Linked DNA regions of Macaca fascicularis. The protein of the gene in region 1 purifies or fractionates together with the protein of each later gene. This does not show direct contact. Links are inferred from orthologs where the notes say so. Each region holds a gene or a part of one and is shown on either strand. Other genes may lie near its edges. The genes, in order: MAPK3 and DUSP6.

Region 1 (6,949 bases):
AGTTACGTCTTGGCCCTGCGTTTGAGGCCTGAGTTCACACCCTTTTCATCGCCACCGCCACACCACTGGAAACTCTCCCAGACCCCTCTAGCTTGGGTCCCCATGCTGGGTGGGCTCCAGCTCCCAGGAGGAGGGGCCCCTGGAGGACGAAGGGGATCGGGTGTGGGGGAACTCACGGCAGCCTTGCATTTCTTCATGACCGAGCGGTTCTCCGAGGCCCAGATGGTGATTTCATTACGGTCATAGCGTCTCACCAAGTCTGCTATCTGGGAGGAGGAGAAGGAGGTGATAGAAGAACCAGGCCTCTCTCCCGCCCCCGGTGGCCGCCCTAGCCCTGCCTGCAGCACCACCTCACAGATGAGCTCTTCATTATTCCCTTTGATCTCCACACTCATGGGTGTCCTTGGAAACCTCTGGAACAGGTCCTCCAGACGAACCATGCGCCGGTCTGACCCGTGAGCAAAGTGGCCTGGGGGTGGTGTGGGAAGAGGGGTCAGAGAGGAAAGCCAAAGCGGGGGTCCAGGGAAGGCGGGCATGGCCCAGGCAGGGCTTGAAGCCCTTGCTCTCACCTGGAGAGAAGTAAACCTCCAGCTCCTCCTTGTAGAGGGGCAGGTCCTGGGGAGGACAGGAAGGATGTCACTAGAGGCCTGCATTGGGCATGGCGACTCTCAGGGTGGGGGTTGGGGTGTCAGGGCAGGGCCCACCTCGAAGTCCAGGCTGCCCACATCCCTGTTCAGGCCCGACTGGCGGTACAGGTTCTCATCATGTGACACCACCACCACTTTGTCTCGTGTCAGCTGACAGTCGAGCTCCAGGAGGTCTGAGCGCTGGGCCATGGAGCTGTGGGGGCGAAGGTTAGCTGCGGGGCGGCGGGGGTTTGGGGGGCAGGGGACTGGGATGATGGACATGGTGGTGGGGAGGTGGCGGGGAATGTGAGAGCAGAGTTCACCGCGGGATGTGCAGGCCACCTCCAGGGGGCGCCAGTCATCCGGTTAGGAAGTGAATGGTGTCCCTTGCTGTGATGCAGTGCACGACCTGCACACCCTCACATGACAGCCTGGGCAGGGGCAGATACACTCACTTCTCCATGGCCTCCATGGTGCTTTCCAGCAGCTCTCCAGATCCTGTGGGGGACACTGGAGTGGGCCCCTGAGGCTTGGGGTCTAGGGGCCTGGCCCGACCTCATCACCCACGTTCCTTCTCTGGGCTCCATCCTCCCTCTGGCCTTACCTCCCCAGCCAGCCCAGGCTGCACCAGCCTCTTCTTCCTTGTCCATACCCTGCCCTGCCACCTTGCTCTCCTTCTCTCTTGGTCCCTGCCCTGTTTCTAGCACGCGCTCTTGGACCTACCCTTCTCTGCTGTCCACTTTGGCACCTGTTCTCACCCCCACCCGGCTCACCTCCTCGGTGGGCCGCCAGGCGGACGCGGAAGGTGGGAGCCCGGGGCGTGTGCAGCAGGTGAGGCCAGCGCAGGAAGAAGATGGAGAGCATGGCATAGCTGCCCAGGGCGGGAAGGGCATAGTACAGCGAAAGGCTCATGTCTGTACTCCCACAGAAGCTCCTGCAGCCGCACACTCAGCCGTCCGTGGGACTGTGCTGCCTGCCTAGCCGGTGTGGGCCGGCTCTACTACTGGCCACTGCCACGCCCGTGGGACCTGCTGAGCCTGCCGCTGGGCTGGCTTGGAGCCAGGCTGCAGGGTTCAGCTGAAGCCGGGGTAGTATCAGATGAGGCAAGCAGCCCTGGCCCTCACATCCCCAAGCCCTTCCCAGACCCCAGCATCCCCCTGTCCTGGGCCACATCGGGGGAGTAAAAACCACCCAGGATTGTTAGGACCTCTCCCTCCCACTGGTGCTTGTAGCCAGCACATCCAACATGCCTACCCCTTGCAGTTTCAGAGGATCCAGGGATGTGTAGGGTGCTCCTGAATCACCCCCAACCAGTTAGACAGGAAGCCATTAGCGTGGGGACAGGACAGTGACCAAGGGGAAAATTGACCCCCTTCTTTCTAGGAGTCTGGAGCTCTCCAGAGCCCCGTCCCCAACCCTGGGCAGCTGGGAGTGAAGGGCACCAGGCCCCAGAAAGCCCAAGTCAAGCAGCAGCTGGGCTGCAGGAGTCTGTCCTCAGAGCTGCACGGGGCAGGGCGGAGGCGTCGCAAACACAGACAGAGCCAGGGTCAGCCATAGACACATCTCTATATTTATATATTAGATGGGTCAGGGAGGTGGCAGGGGCGCTGGGCTCTCCACGCCCCCCAGCTCCACTTCTGCTCACCACACACAGAAGCAGCGAGGGCACTCGAAGTGACAGCTTTGACGGGGAGGGGATTCAGCCCAGTCCGGCTCCTCGGGGATGCTAGCCCTTGAGACTAAGGAATGTTCCTTCAGGGAAGATAGGGTGGGGTTTAAATGAGATGAGGGGGGCAGGCCTGGCCCTGAGTCCCTACTCAGCGCCCCCCACCCTCCACCCCTGCCCCTCAGCAGGTCAGGGCAGCCAGAGCCCCTCCATTCTAGAACTGCCAGAGACTGGGACACTGGGGAAGGTAAGGGTGCAGCAGCAGCAGTGGGAGATTGAACTGGGGCCACCTGAGCCCCCGAGGTCCTGTGGGAAGGGCGGCTGGGGAGGAGGCCTTGGCCTGCCTAAAGCTGGAGGCCTCAGCAAAGGAGAGAGGTGGCCAGGCCCATGCTCCACCCCGGTCTGGGCTGCCAAGGTCTGGGCTCGGCACAGTGTCCATTTTCTAACAGTCCGGCGGGAGAGGGGCAGGCAGGAGGCAGGTCCTAAAGAGAGAAGCAGACAGAAAAGGAGTCATTAGCATACCCCAGGCAGACCCGCGGGAGCCCTGACCTGAACGTCTCTCACCCTCACAGCTGGATAGGCTGGGTCTCAGTTTCCTTATCTGTAAATGGAGATAATAATAGTACCTAGCTGGAGGTACTGCTGTAAGATTAAAGGAATTAAGACATGTAAACCTCTTAGAACAATGCTTAGGGTTTTATGCTTTCATTATTAGAACAGTCTCAGCTGGGCACAGTGGCTCATGCCTGTAATCCCAGCACTTTGAGAAGTCGAAGTGGGTGGGTCACTTGAGCCCAGGAGTTTGAGACTGGCCTGGGCAATATAGCAAGACCCCAACTTTAAAAAAAAAAAAAAAATTAGCCAGTTGCAATGGCTCGTCCAGCCAGCTGGGAGGATCCCTTGCGCCCCAGGAATTTGAGGCTGCATTGAGCTATGATTGCACCACTGCACTCCAGCCTGGGCGACAGAGTGAGACACTGTCTTAAAAAAACGAAAACAAAAAAAAGATAAATAGAACTGACTCCAGGAAACTGAGGTGCAGAGAGGTGAGGTGCCTTGCCCAATATCACACAGCACTTACTAAGTGGCACAGCTGGAGTTTGAGCCCAGGTATGCACGCCTTCCTCCTATTAGGCCACACCTGGCTGAAGACAGGAAGAGACCAGAGGAGGCAAGGAGGCAGTGTGGGTGGGGGCAGGCCCAGCAGGGTCCCCACAGCTATGTGAACTGCTGATCTGGCAGCAGGTGTGAGGAGGCCTGGCAATCTGGGTCAGGCTGGGTGCTGCTGGGCCCCTCCCAAAGCAATCATGGCCCCACCTGCTTCTGCCACACCCAGAGCCGAAGCCTGGGTGACAGGGCCCCTCAGTGACCTCTTGCCTCTTTACCAGTTCTGTTCCCAGAAGGAGATTAGAATGGCTGCTGGGGCTGGAGGATGCAGGGTGTTGACAGGTGGAGACATTTGGGGCTGGAGGACTGGGTGGGCCATGAGTCTGGGCAGCACTTGGGCATTTTTTTTTTTTTTTGAGATGGAGTCTTGCTCTGTAGTCCAGGCTGGAGTGCAGTGGTGTGATCTCAACTCACTGCAACCTCTGCCTCCTGGGTTCAAGCAATTCTCCTGCCTCAGCCTCCCAAGTAGCTGAGATTACAGGCACACGCCACCACACCTGGCTAATTTTTGTATTCTTAGTAGAGACGGGGTTTCACCATGTTGGCCAGGCTGGTCTCGAACTCTTGACCTCGTGATCCATCACCTTGGCCTCCCAAAGTGCTGGGCTTACAGATGTGAGCCACTGTGCCTGGCCCCCCCTTTTTTTTTTTGAGACAGAGTCTCACTGTTGCCCAGGCTGGCGTATAGTGGTGCAACCTCCGCCTCCCGGGTTCAAGCAATCCTCCCACCACAGCCTCCTGAGTAGCTGGGACTAGAAGCGCATGCCTACACACCCGGCTAATTTTAGTATTTTTAGTAGAGACAGGGTTTCACCACATTGGCCAGGCTGGTCTCGAACCCCTGACTTCAGGTGATCCACTCGCCTCAGCCTCCCAAAGTGCTGGGATTACCAGAGTGACCCACTGTGCCTGGCTAATTTTTGTATTTTTAGTATAGATGGGATTTCGCCATGCTGGCCAGGCTGGTCTCAAACTCCTGACCCTCAGGTGATCCACTCATCTCAGTCTCAGTCTCCCAAAGTGCTGGGATTCCAGGCATGAGCCACTGCACCCAGCCCCCGGGCACTTCTGTTGTCACCAGACACACCGAGCATGGGTGCAGGGTAAGCTTGCTGCTATATGGAGGCACATACAAATACAGATATAGATATTGATATAGATACAGATACAGATAGAGATATAGATAGATATAGATACAGGTATTTAGTATCAGCGTATCTGTGTGCCGGCCATGGGGACACTCACCAGGCCCCAGGGTGCAGGGATGTCTGTCTGGGTTAGGGGGCCTCTAGCGCCCCAGGCTGGAAGCGTGCTGTCTCCTGGAAGATGAGCTCCTTCAGCCGCTCCTTAGGTAGGTCATCCAGCTCCATGGCGAAGGTGAAGGGCTCCTCGGCCACTGGCTGGGGTGGCAGAGACAGCAAGGCTCAGGCCTGGCATGGGGGATGCCTACTTACCCCCCTGCCCCTGGCCCTACTGCTGCTGGGGACTGGCCCACCTCATCCGTCGGGTCATAGTACTGCTCCAGGTAGGGGTGAGCCAGCGCTTCCTCCACTGTGATCCGTTTATTGGGGTTAAAGGTTAACATCCGGTCCAGCAGGTCAAGGGCTATAGAAGGGCAGGAGTCAGGGGTCACAGGGAAGACTGGAGAAGCTCCCAGAAGCATCACTTTGCCTGTCTCCTCCAGCTGCTGCTGGGCTCCCGTACCCTCCATGGCACCCAGGGTTTATCCCACACCCGTCCTCATGTCTCTCAAACCTTTGGAGTCTGACTTGGGGAAAAGCTTGGCCCAAGCCACCTTGGTCTTGGAGGGCAGAGACTGTAGGTAGTTTCGGGCCTTCATGTTGATGATACAATTCAGGTCCTCCTGGGATGGGGAGCCCAGGATGCCTGTGGATAAGGAGGTGACTTGGTAAATGATCACCTCCTTCTTTCTGGGAACAGAACAGGCAACAAGGCAAGAACAAGACCCCCAGCCCAGCAACCCATGCCAATCCCTCAGTTACCTCCTAGTCATTAGCATGGTGGTGCAGAGCAAGGGGGCTGGATTCAGGCAGACCGAGGCTCAAATCCTAGGTCTGGTGCCTCCTTAGGTGTGGGACTTAGACTTGCTTTTCCCATCTATCCAATGGGGATAATATCTATACCTCATTGAGATACCATGAGATGCTGGAGGCGCCCCACACGTGGTGGTATCCCTGACTTGGACTCTTGAGAAATCTCACCTTGGAGAAGGTAATCATCCCCCACTCAGCCAGCCGGGCCTCCCTCACCCAGAATGTGGTTGAGCTGATCCAGGTAGTGCTTGCCAGGGAAGATGGGCCGGTTAGAGAGCATCTCAGCCAGAATGCAGCCCACAGACCAGATGTCGATGGACTTGGTATAGCCCTGGGAGAGAGGAGGAAGTGGTGGGCTCCTGGGCCAGCCTCAACAGGGTCCTGTTTCTACACCAAGCCACCATCTCCAAGTTAGATCCAACACCAGGCAGAAGGCAGAGGCCTGGAGGGCTCAATGCTCAGCTTCCTTGCAGAGCCCAAGGCCCAGAGGGTGGAATTCCTGTGTCATGGGGGTCGGTATCTGGCTCGGAGGTAGCTCCAGGGCTTCCTGGGACCTGGTCCCTTCCCTTCAGGAGTGGGCAGCCCCTCCTACCTTGGAGTTCAGCATGATCTCTGGGGCCCGGTACCAGCGTGTAGCCACATACTCCGTCAGGAAGCCGGTGTGGTCATGCTCAGGATCGGCAATCCGGGCCAGGCCGAAATCGCAAATCTGGAATCAGACCAAGCTGCTAAGCTCGGTGCTCAAGGCCTCTGCAGCTTAAGCAGTCACGCCCCCTTGTCTTTGCCTCCACTGTTCCCCTTGCTTGCAATGTTCTCCTGCCCAAGGCTTCTACTGGTCACCTGGAAGCCCCAGACCCTGGGGGAGGAGGGGACAGGTGCCCAACCCTCTGACCTTAAGGTCGCAGGTGGTGTTGATGAGCAGGTTGGAGGGCTTTAGATCCCGGTGGAGCACATTAGCGGAGTGGATGTACTTGAGGCCCCGCAGGATCTGGTAGAGGAAGTAGCAGATGTGGTCATTGCTCAGTTGCTGGCTTTTCAGCAACTTGTACAGGTCAGTCTCCATCAGGTCCTGCACAATGTAGCTGAGGATGGTTCCGGAGACCCCCGGGGAGGGGGCAGCGGGAGGCACTTGGTTAAGGAAAACAGGCTCTGAAGGCGAGGCTGCACATCTCCTCCAGCCAGGGCCCCTGGGACTCAATAGATCTGCCAACCTGCACCACCAGCTGGGCAAGCTGCTGCCGTTACCCAGCGGCAGGGCTCTGAGCCTCTGTCGCGTCACCGTTGCTGATCCTGAGCAAGGGGCTTCACTTCTGTGGCCTCAGTTTCCCTACCGGGGAAACAGGGATAATAATAAACTGTGGGAGGCCGGAGAACTTCACAGTTAAGAGCAGCAACTTGGGCCAGGAGTGGTGGGTCACGCCTGTAATCCCAGCACT
Region 2 (7,666 bases), on another chromosome or scaffold:
AGCTATGCTCTATAGATTCATTTTTCTTCAGGGGCTTTAAAATTTTAAGCCTGAACTATACTCATAAAAGGTATTGTTCATATACATGATAGTCCATTCTAGGATGTTATCTTTGTGACAAATGATGAATTTCATAAACTGCTGCTGAAAAACATTCTAGGAAAAGCTTAAAAAGAACTTTGCCCTGCTATGCCTACAAGTCAAAATCAATCCCTGAATGAAAAAGCTCTAAAATGTGTCACTTCATACACAGGCGTAACTGAGATTTTTTTTAAAATACACACTCAATAGCCAAAATAGTTATTTATTAATAATTTAAGGTTTTACATTCTTATAATAAATTCCAGCTCAAAACTTTACACCACGAACATAATGGAGCAATTTAACTCTCCCTTCTTCACAATCAAATGCATTTCTCCTATCAAATGGGTACCCATGCTCACACACACACTTCCAGTTTTATACAATTTTTTTAAAGGAAAGAAACCAACCCAAAGTATTGCATTTGAGGTGACACTCCCTGAAGAATTTTATACAGAGGTAATATACTGTTTAGCACAGCTGAAGGGTTTTTTTTTTTTTAAGTGAGCCCATGATTTGGTGTCTTTCCAAGATTATCCCCTTTGAGACAACACAAGCCAAAATATTTACAAAGGTAAGGCATAGTCAAACTACATAAAGAGAAAAAAATCATGAGGAAGATACATGAAAAAGACTAAAGACTTCGCCATAACAAGCTCTTAGTGATAATAGTGTCCATAAAGGTGTCATCAGAATTGGTAAAGTCAAGCATGCTGCAAATATACCCTTTGGATTAGAAAAGAGCACAATTTTTTTGTTTTGTTTTGTTTTAAGAGGTGGCATACTGCTCTTTCTCCCTTTGGATCATTTCTTTTAAGCCCATCAAAGGAAAAAACAAACACAATTCAAACAAACACTGTCAAGTGATTTAAGATCAAATATTTACAATAATCAAATGGAGTATCAGATTTTTTTCCAAACTGATACCACAAATACAGAGCTGAAATCTCTCTTTGGCTCCTCTATATGCAAAATTGAATTAGTCTTCATTGAAGACAATTATATAGTCAGTTCCAGATGCAAAAGGAAACAGCCTTACAAGGCCCTCAAGAACACATGCTCCTACCCTACCATTTGGTCCTACCCTATGCGCCTGGAAGTCCTCGAATCCTGCATGGGTAGGCTGTACACATGGATACAGAGCAAACCTACTGCCTGTATCTATACAGCATGTCCTGTTATTCCAAAGAGAATGGAGCAAATCTCTCTGTTAGTATTAACCAATTCCGCACTTGGTAACCTTGTCTAGTACAGACAGCCGGTGTCATTTTGACACCTGGGGCCACACACAAAGAAAGCAGCCCAGCTGATGCTGCCAAGAGAAACTGCTGAAGGACCAGACACATTCCAGCAAGGAGGGGTGTGGGGTCTTTCACGTAGATTGCAGGGAGTCCACCTGGTAGACATTCTGGTTGGAGGGGGTGGTAAAATACAGCTGCTGTGCTGGAACCCGGTTGTCACAGGGGCTGCTGAGTCCCAGTGTCCTCTCGAAGTCCAGCAGCTGACCCATGAAGTTGAAGTTAGGAGATATGTTGGATTTCTTCATCTTGACAATGTCATAGGCATCGTTCATCGACAGATTGAGCTTCTGCATAAGGTAAGCCACAGTCACAGTGACTGACCGGCTAATGCCAGCCAAGCAATGTACCAAGACACCACAGTTCTTGCCCCGGGCTTCATCTGTGAACACAAAAAGAAAAGCAAGATCTCAGTAGACTGAAAACCACCCTTTGTGAATGATCAGTCTAAGAAGTGAACTTAAAAATATAATAGTAATAATAGTTGTGTGTGGCAGTTGAGCCCTACAAGCAGCAGAAAATGTATCATTGAAATTAAACATGTACACTGGACACAATTACATATTTCAGATATTTTCTGAAAAGAGAGCTTTTGTATTAAGTTTCTGCCAACAAAAAACTCCTTAATGGGTGCATTCTTTGCCTCAGCATGTGAATACCAGAAACCCTGCAATATGTTCGTGAATGCCTTTTATACAGACAACCAGACTGCAAGGGTCTATTAAATTATTCTCCAAATGTTGTGCAGCTAACAATGGAGGTATTCAGGCATTTTAAAAGAGAGAGGGAAGTCACAGGGGACGGCCCATTAGGAGGAACAGGATGTCGACATGGCCTGAAAATGAGTTCCTTTGTAATAGGAAATGCATTACAATGCCTGGAGATTCACTTCTCCCAGGCTTCCAGCCCACAGTTCTTCCTTCTGGGCTCAGGTTACCCACTGTCTCACTGTTACCAGTATCACAGTATCATTCAACTGGATAACATTTAGCATTCATACTGCTTTCCAACAACTAACTTGACGTCCTAAAATAACTCCTAGGTTTTTTAAAATTATAAAGCAATGCTGGAATTTCTGTCTATAGTGAATACTTCTATCTGACCCTTCCCCTGAGTCCAAGACTGTGGGAAAAATCTGTTGTCCGATTATGAACGACTGTCAAATGACTGAATTCAAAGATTCACAGAAACAGCGTTTCAAATACACCTGTAATCTGCAGCCATATCAAAAGGCAGGTTTTCTTCCCTTAGCGAGAAGATAAACCAGAATTAAGGACGCTTTAGGAAAATTAGAGACCTGCAGTACGACAAATTAGCAAGCAGCAAGAACGATTAACAGCTTAAACTCTATGAATGGCTGGGAATTTTGCATTTAAATGTCAGAACGACTACTATTAATTAGTCTCACCTATGAAAGAAATGGCCTCAGGGAAAAACTGGGACAGGTTTTGGCTCCAGTGATCCGAGATGGGGATTTGCTTGTATTTAAACTCTCCTGCGTTCTCAAAGAGATTCGGCAAATTGGGGGTGACGTTCAAGATGTACTTGATGCCGAATTCCTCCAACACGTCCAAGTTGGTGGAGTCTTTGGCACAACCCAAGTAAAGGAAGGGCAAGATCTCCACCGGGAAGGAAGGCTGGCTGTTGGACAGCGGACTGCCATCCGAGTCTGTTGCACTATTGGGGTCTCGGTCAAGGTCAGACTCAATGTCCGAGGAAGAGTCAGAGCTGATCCGCAGGCCCCCGAGCCCCAGCACTGGCAACGGCGGCGAGCTGCTGCTACACGAGCCGTCTAGATTGGTCTCGCAATGCAGGGCGAACTCGGCTTGGAACTTACTGAAGCCACCTGCCAGAACGAGAAAAGCAATCGTGTAACCCGAGAAGCCGTAGTAGTTTTCACAGCTTGTAAGAACCGCAACCCGGCGCAAGAAACACCACAAGCACCCTACGAACCCCCTACATACAGAACCATAAATAATAGAAATACACTTTAAATGTGCACCCTCGGGAATGGAACGAACGGGCCCGCCTCGCCAGAGAACCCTTATTCGTTTGAATCCGGAAATACACAAAATGGCAACTTTTTGGAATATTTTGAAAGCTAGGATGTGCCAATTTGCATCCCCAACAATCTCTCCGGTCCTCCAAATCTTAATTCAAAATCGAACGATAGAAAATAGGGTGATGGAGGAGAATGTTCTGGGTAAGAAGGCGCAGAACCCGTTAGAAAGAAACCGCCGGTACCCGCAGCCGGAAGCGGGTGGATTCTGAGCCGGCCCGGTTCTCTGGTGCGGAACGCGCGGTTCGCGGCCGATACCTTGCCGGCTGCCGGCCCCTAGGCTAGCAGCGCGGCTCCGAAGCGCCAGCTGAGCGCAGCAGAGGCATTTTCAGTCCACGCGCCCCGCCCGCAGCCCTGCGCCCCTCGCCCTGCCCCGCGCGCGGAGTTCCCCGGGCGCGTACCTTCCAGGTAGAACGCCCGGCAACCCTCGTCCTTGAGCTTCTTGAGCAGCAGCCCTAGCACTGACTCGCCGCCCGTATTCTCGTTCCAGTCGCTGCTGCTCTCGTCGTAGAGCACCACTGTGTCGGTGCCGCAGCGCCGGGTGAAGCGGTCCCGGTCCTCGCCGCGCGTGAAGAGTGCGCGCACCGGCAGGTTGCCCTTCTGCAGGCGCCGCAGCATGATGCCCGGGATGGCCACGTTGATGGCCGACTCGATGTGCGACGACTCGTACAGCTCCTGCGGCCGGCAGTCCATCAGCAGCAGCCGCTCGTTGCCCAGCTCCAGCTGCTCGTTGAGCCACGCCACCGTCTTGCTGATCGCCATTTCCGACGCGAAGGGCACGGGTCTGAGCGTATCTATCATGGGGGTCGAGCTGCGGGAGAGGGCGGGGTGCCTACCAGACGCCCCTCGGGGCAGGCATAGGCCGAGCGCGCTGCGCGTGAAGCTGCCGCTCTCGGAGCGGGGTTTAATTCCGCCTCGCCTAACCCAAGCCGAGGCTAGCGGTTGGGGAAGACGAGACAGAAGTAAAGCCGGAGGTTCTTTCTGCACCCAGCTGCAGCCGCTGGCTGTTAGTGTCAATGAATCTCTCAATGAAGCTGCCCAGACAGTTTTTGTTCCTCCCCAGTGAATGAAATCCAATTAATTCGGACTCAGTTCTACTGAGAGGGGAGGAAAAAAAGTCTAGCGGTTCCTAATCCCTCCCGCCAAGTCTGCACCTCAAATCTACCCGGGCGTCTTTCTCCCCGGATTATTTAAGACTCGATTTGCTCACTATCCCTTGGACTCAGCCTCGCACACCCCCTGCGCGAGGCAGCTCCTCAATGGATACAAACAGCGAGCGTCTCAATGGATACATTCTCCGGGCCAGCCAATGAGCGTGCTGCGGAAGGGGCTGTTGCCGTGGGGACGGGCCGGCTGGAACAGGTTGTGTTGATGAATTGTTAATGAGTTTGTCATTCACAAAAACGGAAAGGAATTTCCGCTCCGGATAAGCCCCAGTGCAAACAAGCTGCAACAGCGGGCTCGGCGGGAGGAAGGAGAAAGAAGGGGAGGCGGCAGCGGAGGAGGAGCAGGGCACATAAACCAGGGCACTTCAGTTGTCTCATGTTTCCTTCTGTTGAGAGTTCACACTTCGCGTCGGAACTTTTGCGCACCAATGGCGCAATTAGCATGCACAAAAGCCCTTGTTCGCGACGCTAGCGTTCGCGAGCTAGCTTTAGGAAAACTTGTGCTGACTTTTTGTTCTTTGTATTCTCTTCAAACTCATTTGGACCCAAGTTCGCCTTAACCCTCCCCTCCCCCAACCCCCCTTCTTTAGGCGGTGTGTGGCATTTGTTTGCCAGTTTTAAAGGCCTAGCTCTGTTTGCTCTGATGTTCTTTTAGCCGAGGCTGTGTTGGGGCTGGTGAATTGACTGGGCTTTAGTGACCGATGAGGTGTTAAATGCTAATCCAACATATTTCGAAACAAACCAGGATTTTGTTGAAACATTTTAAAGCAAACAAACAAACGTCTGGTTGTTCAGAAAATCAGAAGGAAACCTTTTTTCTTAAAGTAACATTTTATTTTCTTTAAAACAATGTAGAGTGCAGAAACAAACTCTTAGGTCAGTCCAGTGCTTTTACTGTATTCCGCTCCAGCGGCGTGGGGAGTTACAAGCCATTGTTCCGGGGATCTAAATCTCTCCCCCCACCCCATCACCACCGTCGCCTGCTGGGGGGTCGCGCTCGTTAATGATTTCTGGGCAAGGAGCTCGGCTTCTGACGGAGGAGCCGGTCTGGCGGGGCTGCCTGGGCGAGGTGTGCTGGGACGCGCCGGGCCAGGCCGGCAGTCCCCGCCATGGGCGAGGAGTGGGGAAGGCCTGCAGGCTGCGGGGCCTCAGCAGGGGGGCTTGACGATTGGTTAGTTGGCAGGGAGGCATGTCAGAGGGGGCCTCCCCAGCCCTCTCCTGCCGCCGCCTCCTCCCTTTGTCCAGCGCCGGGCACTCCGGGGAGCACTAGTCGCGCCTGCGCGCTGCGCTCCCTGCCACCGCCCCGCTGTCCCCGTCTCCCCGCTTGGCGGGCAGGGGGTTGTGCGCGATGCAGTGGACGGGTACTGGGCTGAGCGCGGGACTCCCGGTTCCATAAAGATGTGGGGCGGGTGGGAGGAGCAAGGACGAGTGCCTGCCTGGACCCCCCTGGCTCCTGGCTCCCAAGGAGTCGAGGGGAACGTCTCTACCGCCCTGCAGAGCCAGCAGGTAACTTTGGGGAGGTGCCGGCCAGGCCAGTGAGCAGCGCTCGGCCCAGGCGCCGCGGGGCGGACGGACTGGAAGCCGGATGGAGGCGTGGCCGGGTGGGGGCCGCGGCGGCGGGGAGGCGCGTTCCCGGCGCGCAGAGCTCTATTGTTATATAAAAGTGCCGAGGCCTGCCCCTCCCGAGCGGAAAACCACCTGTGTGCGGCCAGCTCGGCGCGGGAGGGCCACGGCCGGAAGGCGCGGGCCCTAATCCGGCCTCCCCTCCCTAAACCCCGGCGGAAAAGAGGCCGCGCTTTGTCCCGCCGATGCCTGAGAGGCGGAAGCGGGGGCAGCCGCCCGGCGGGGTGCGGCTTTGGGGAGCGTCCCTCGCTGCGCTTTGCGCCCACCGTGAACACCGCGAGGGCGCCTAAGGTCGCGGGGTCTCCCTTCGCCCGACGCCCCGCACCCACGGGCATGCCTGCTGACACCCCCGCTGCAATTTGCATTTTTAGTTACCCGCCTCTTCCCTGGTTTGGGAAATGTAGGCTAAAAAAAGGCGGCTGCGAGGCCCAGGTTGCCAATTTTGGAGCTCTGCTGCAGGCAGGCCGCCCCTGGAGGAGCGTGTTCGACGAAGGTGGGGATTGCCGAGCTCTTCTCCGCACCATTTTTGGGCAGCCTTTGGAACAAAACTCCTATATTTCACTGGGTATCTTTTAGTTTCAGCCGTGGGAGGCCTGCGCTGGAGTTGACTCCCCCTATCCTCCCCGATCTGTCACAGAAGTTCCCACCCCGAGACGTTTCAGTCATTGGGACCTGGGGACAGGGAGGGAAGAGGCAGGATGCCCTGCAGAGGAACTGAGAAGAGCAAACCTGTTGGAGATTCAGCGCAGCACCTCCAACAGAAGAGAAAGGGAGGGAAGTTGGGTTTCCACTTTGCCTGTTTTAATACGCAGCTACCTGACTATGACTATAGATTCGAGAGGATACATCGAAACTGTAGTTTTTACCCATGCTTCTGAACTCTATTGCCAAGGGAATGCCGATCTTTCCTGGCGCATTGGCTAAGTGGCGTTCTGACCGCTCAGTCCTAGAAATGCTGAGAAAAGGGCTTCTGGAGTGGGACGGCCCTCGTTTGCATTATGTCCCCCAGTTCTTCCTAGGTATGCGCCCTTAGTTAAATCATTTAGTTGTTCTAAGTTGCAGTCTTCTTTATAATGAAGATAAAACTATCTGCTTCATAGGGTCCCTGTGACAACAAAATGGGTACGGTGAAATGTCCTAAAGTGATGGTGGGGTGCTATTAGCTGTTGGAATTAATTTTTTATGCTTCTGAATTGAGGATCTGTGAAAAGGCCTCGGTTTGGGGGCACGGTTTGGGCATCCCACAGATGCCCCTTGAGGCTTGCTTGACAGCCCGCCTGCACTCGCTCATCTCCAGGAAAGCCCTCTGAGGTACTACCCTAACCGATTTAATCCGTTCCAATTCAGCTGTCAAGTAAAGGAGGTGTTATCGTGGACCAGGATCAAAATCCTTTAGCACGATTATCAGAATGGACCCAGCTACATTTCTGACTTCTCTC

What was found.
Region 2: the proteins of MAPK3 (region 1) and DUSP6 purify together in Homo sapiens (affinity purification with mass spectrometry; 7 studies listed by BioGRID and IntAct, with this or other methods). This does not show direct contact. The link is inferred for Macaca fascicularis from reciprocal best matches to the Homo sapiens genes MAPK3 and DUSP6.

The regions. Positions count from the first base shown.
Region 1 is NC_088394.1:27,977,404-27,984,352, reverse strand, and holds the end of MAPK3 (mitogen-activated protein kinase 3), read right to left. Parts: intron 6,596-6,949; coding exon 6,406-6,595; intron 6,223-6,405; coding exon 6,106-6,222; intron 5,845-6,105; coding exon 5,730-5,844; intron 5,347-5,729; coding exon 5,215-5,346; intron 5,065-5,214; coding exon 4,955-5,064; intron 4,860-4,954; coding exon 4,737-4,859; 3' UTR 4,705-4,736; intron 2,775-4,704; 3' UTR 2,174-2,774; downstream 1-2,173. Other genes in the region: lysophospholipase D GDPD3, read right to left, coding at 177-266, 351-469, 570-615, 705-840, 1,082-1,124, 1,400-1,538.
Region 2 is NC_088385.1:96,314,055-96,321,720, forward strand, and holds DUSP6 (dual specificity protein phosphatase 6), read right to left. Parts: upstream 4,704-7,666; 5' UTR 4,240-4,703; coding exon 3,840-4,239; intron 3,226-3,839; coding exon 2,788-3,225; intron 1,762-2,787; coding exon 1,454-1,761; 3' UTR 289-1,453; downstream 1-288. UniProt on the Homo sapiens protein: Dual specificity protein phosphatase, which mediates dephosphorylation and inactivation of MAP kinases. Has a specificity for the ERK family. Plays an important role in alleviating chronic postoperative pain.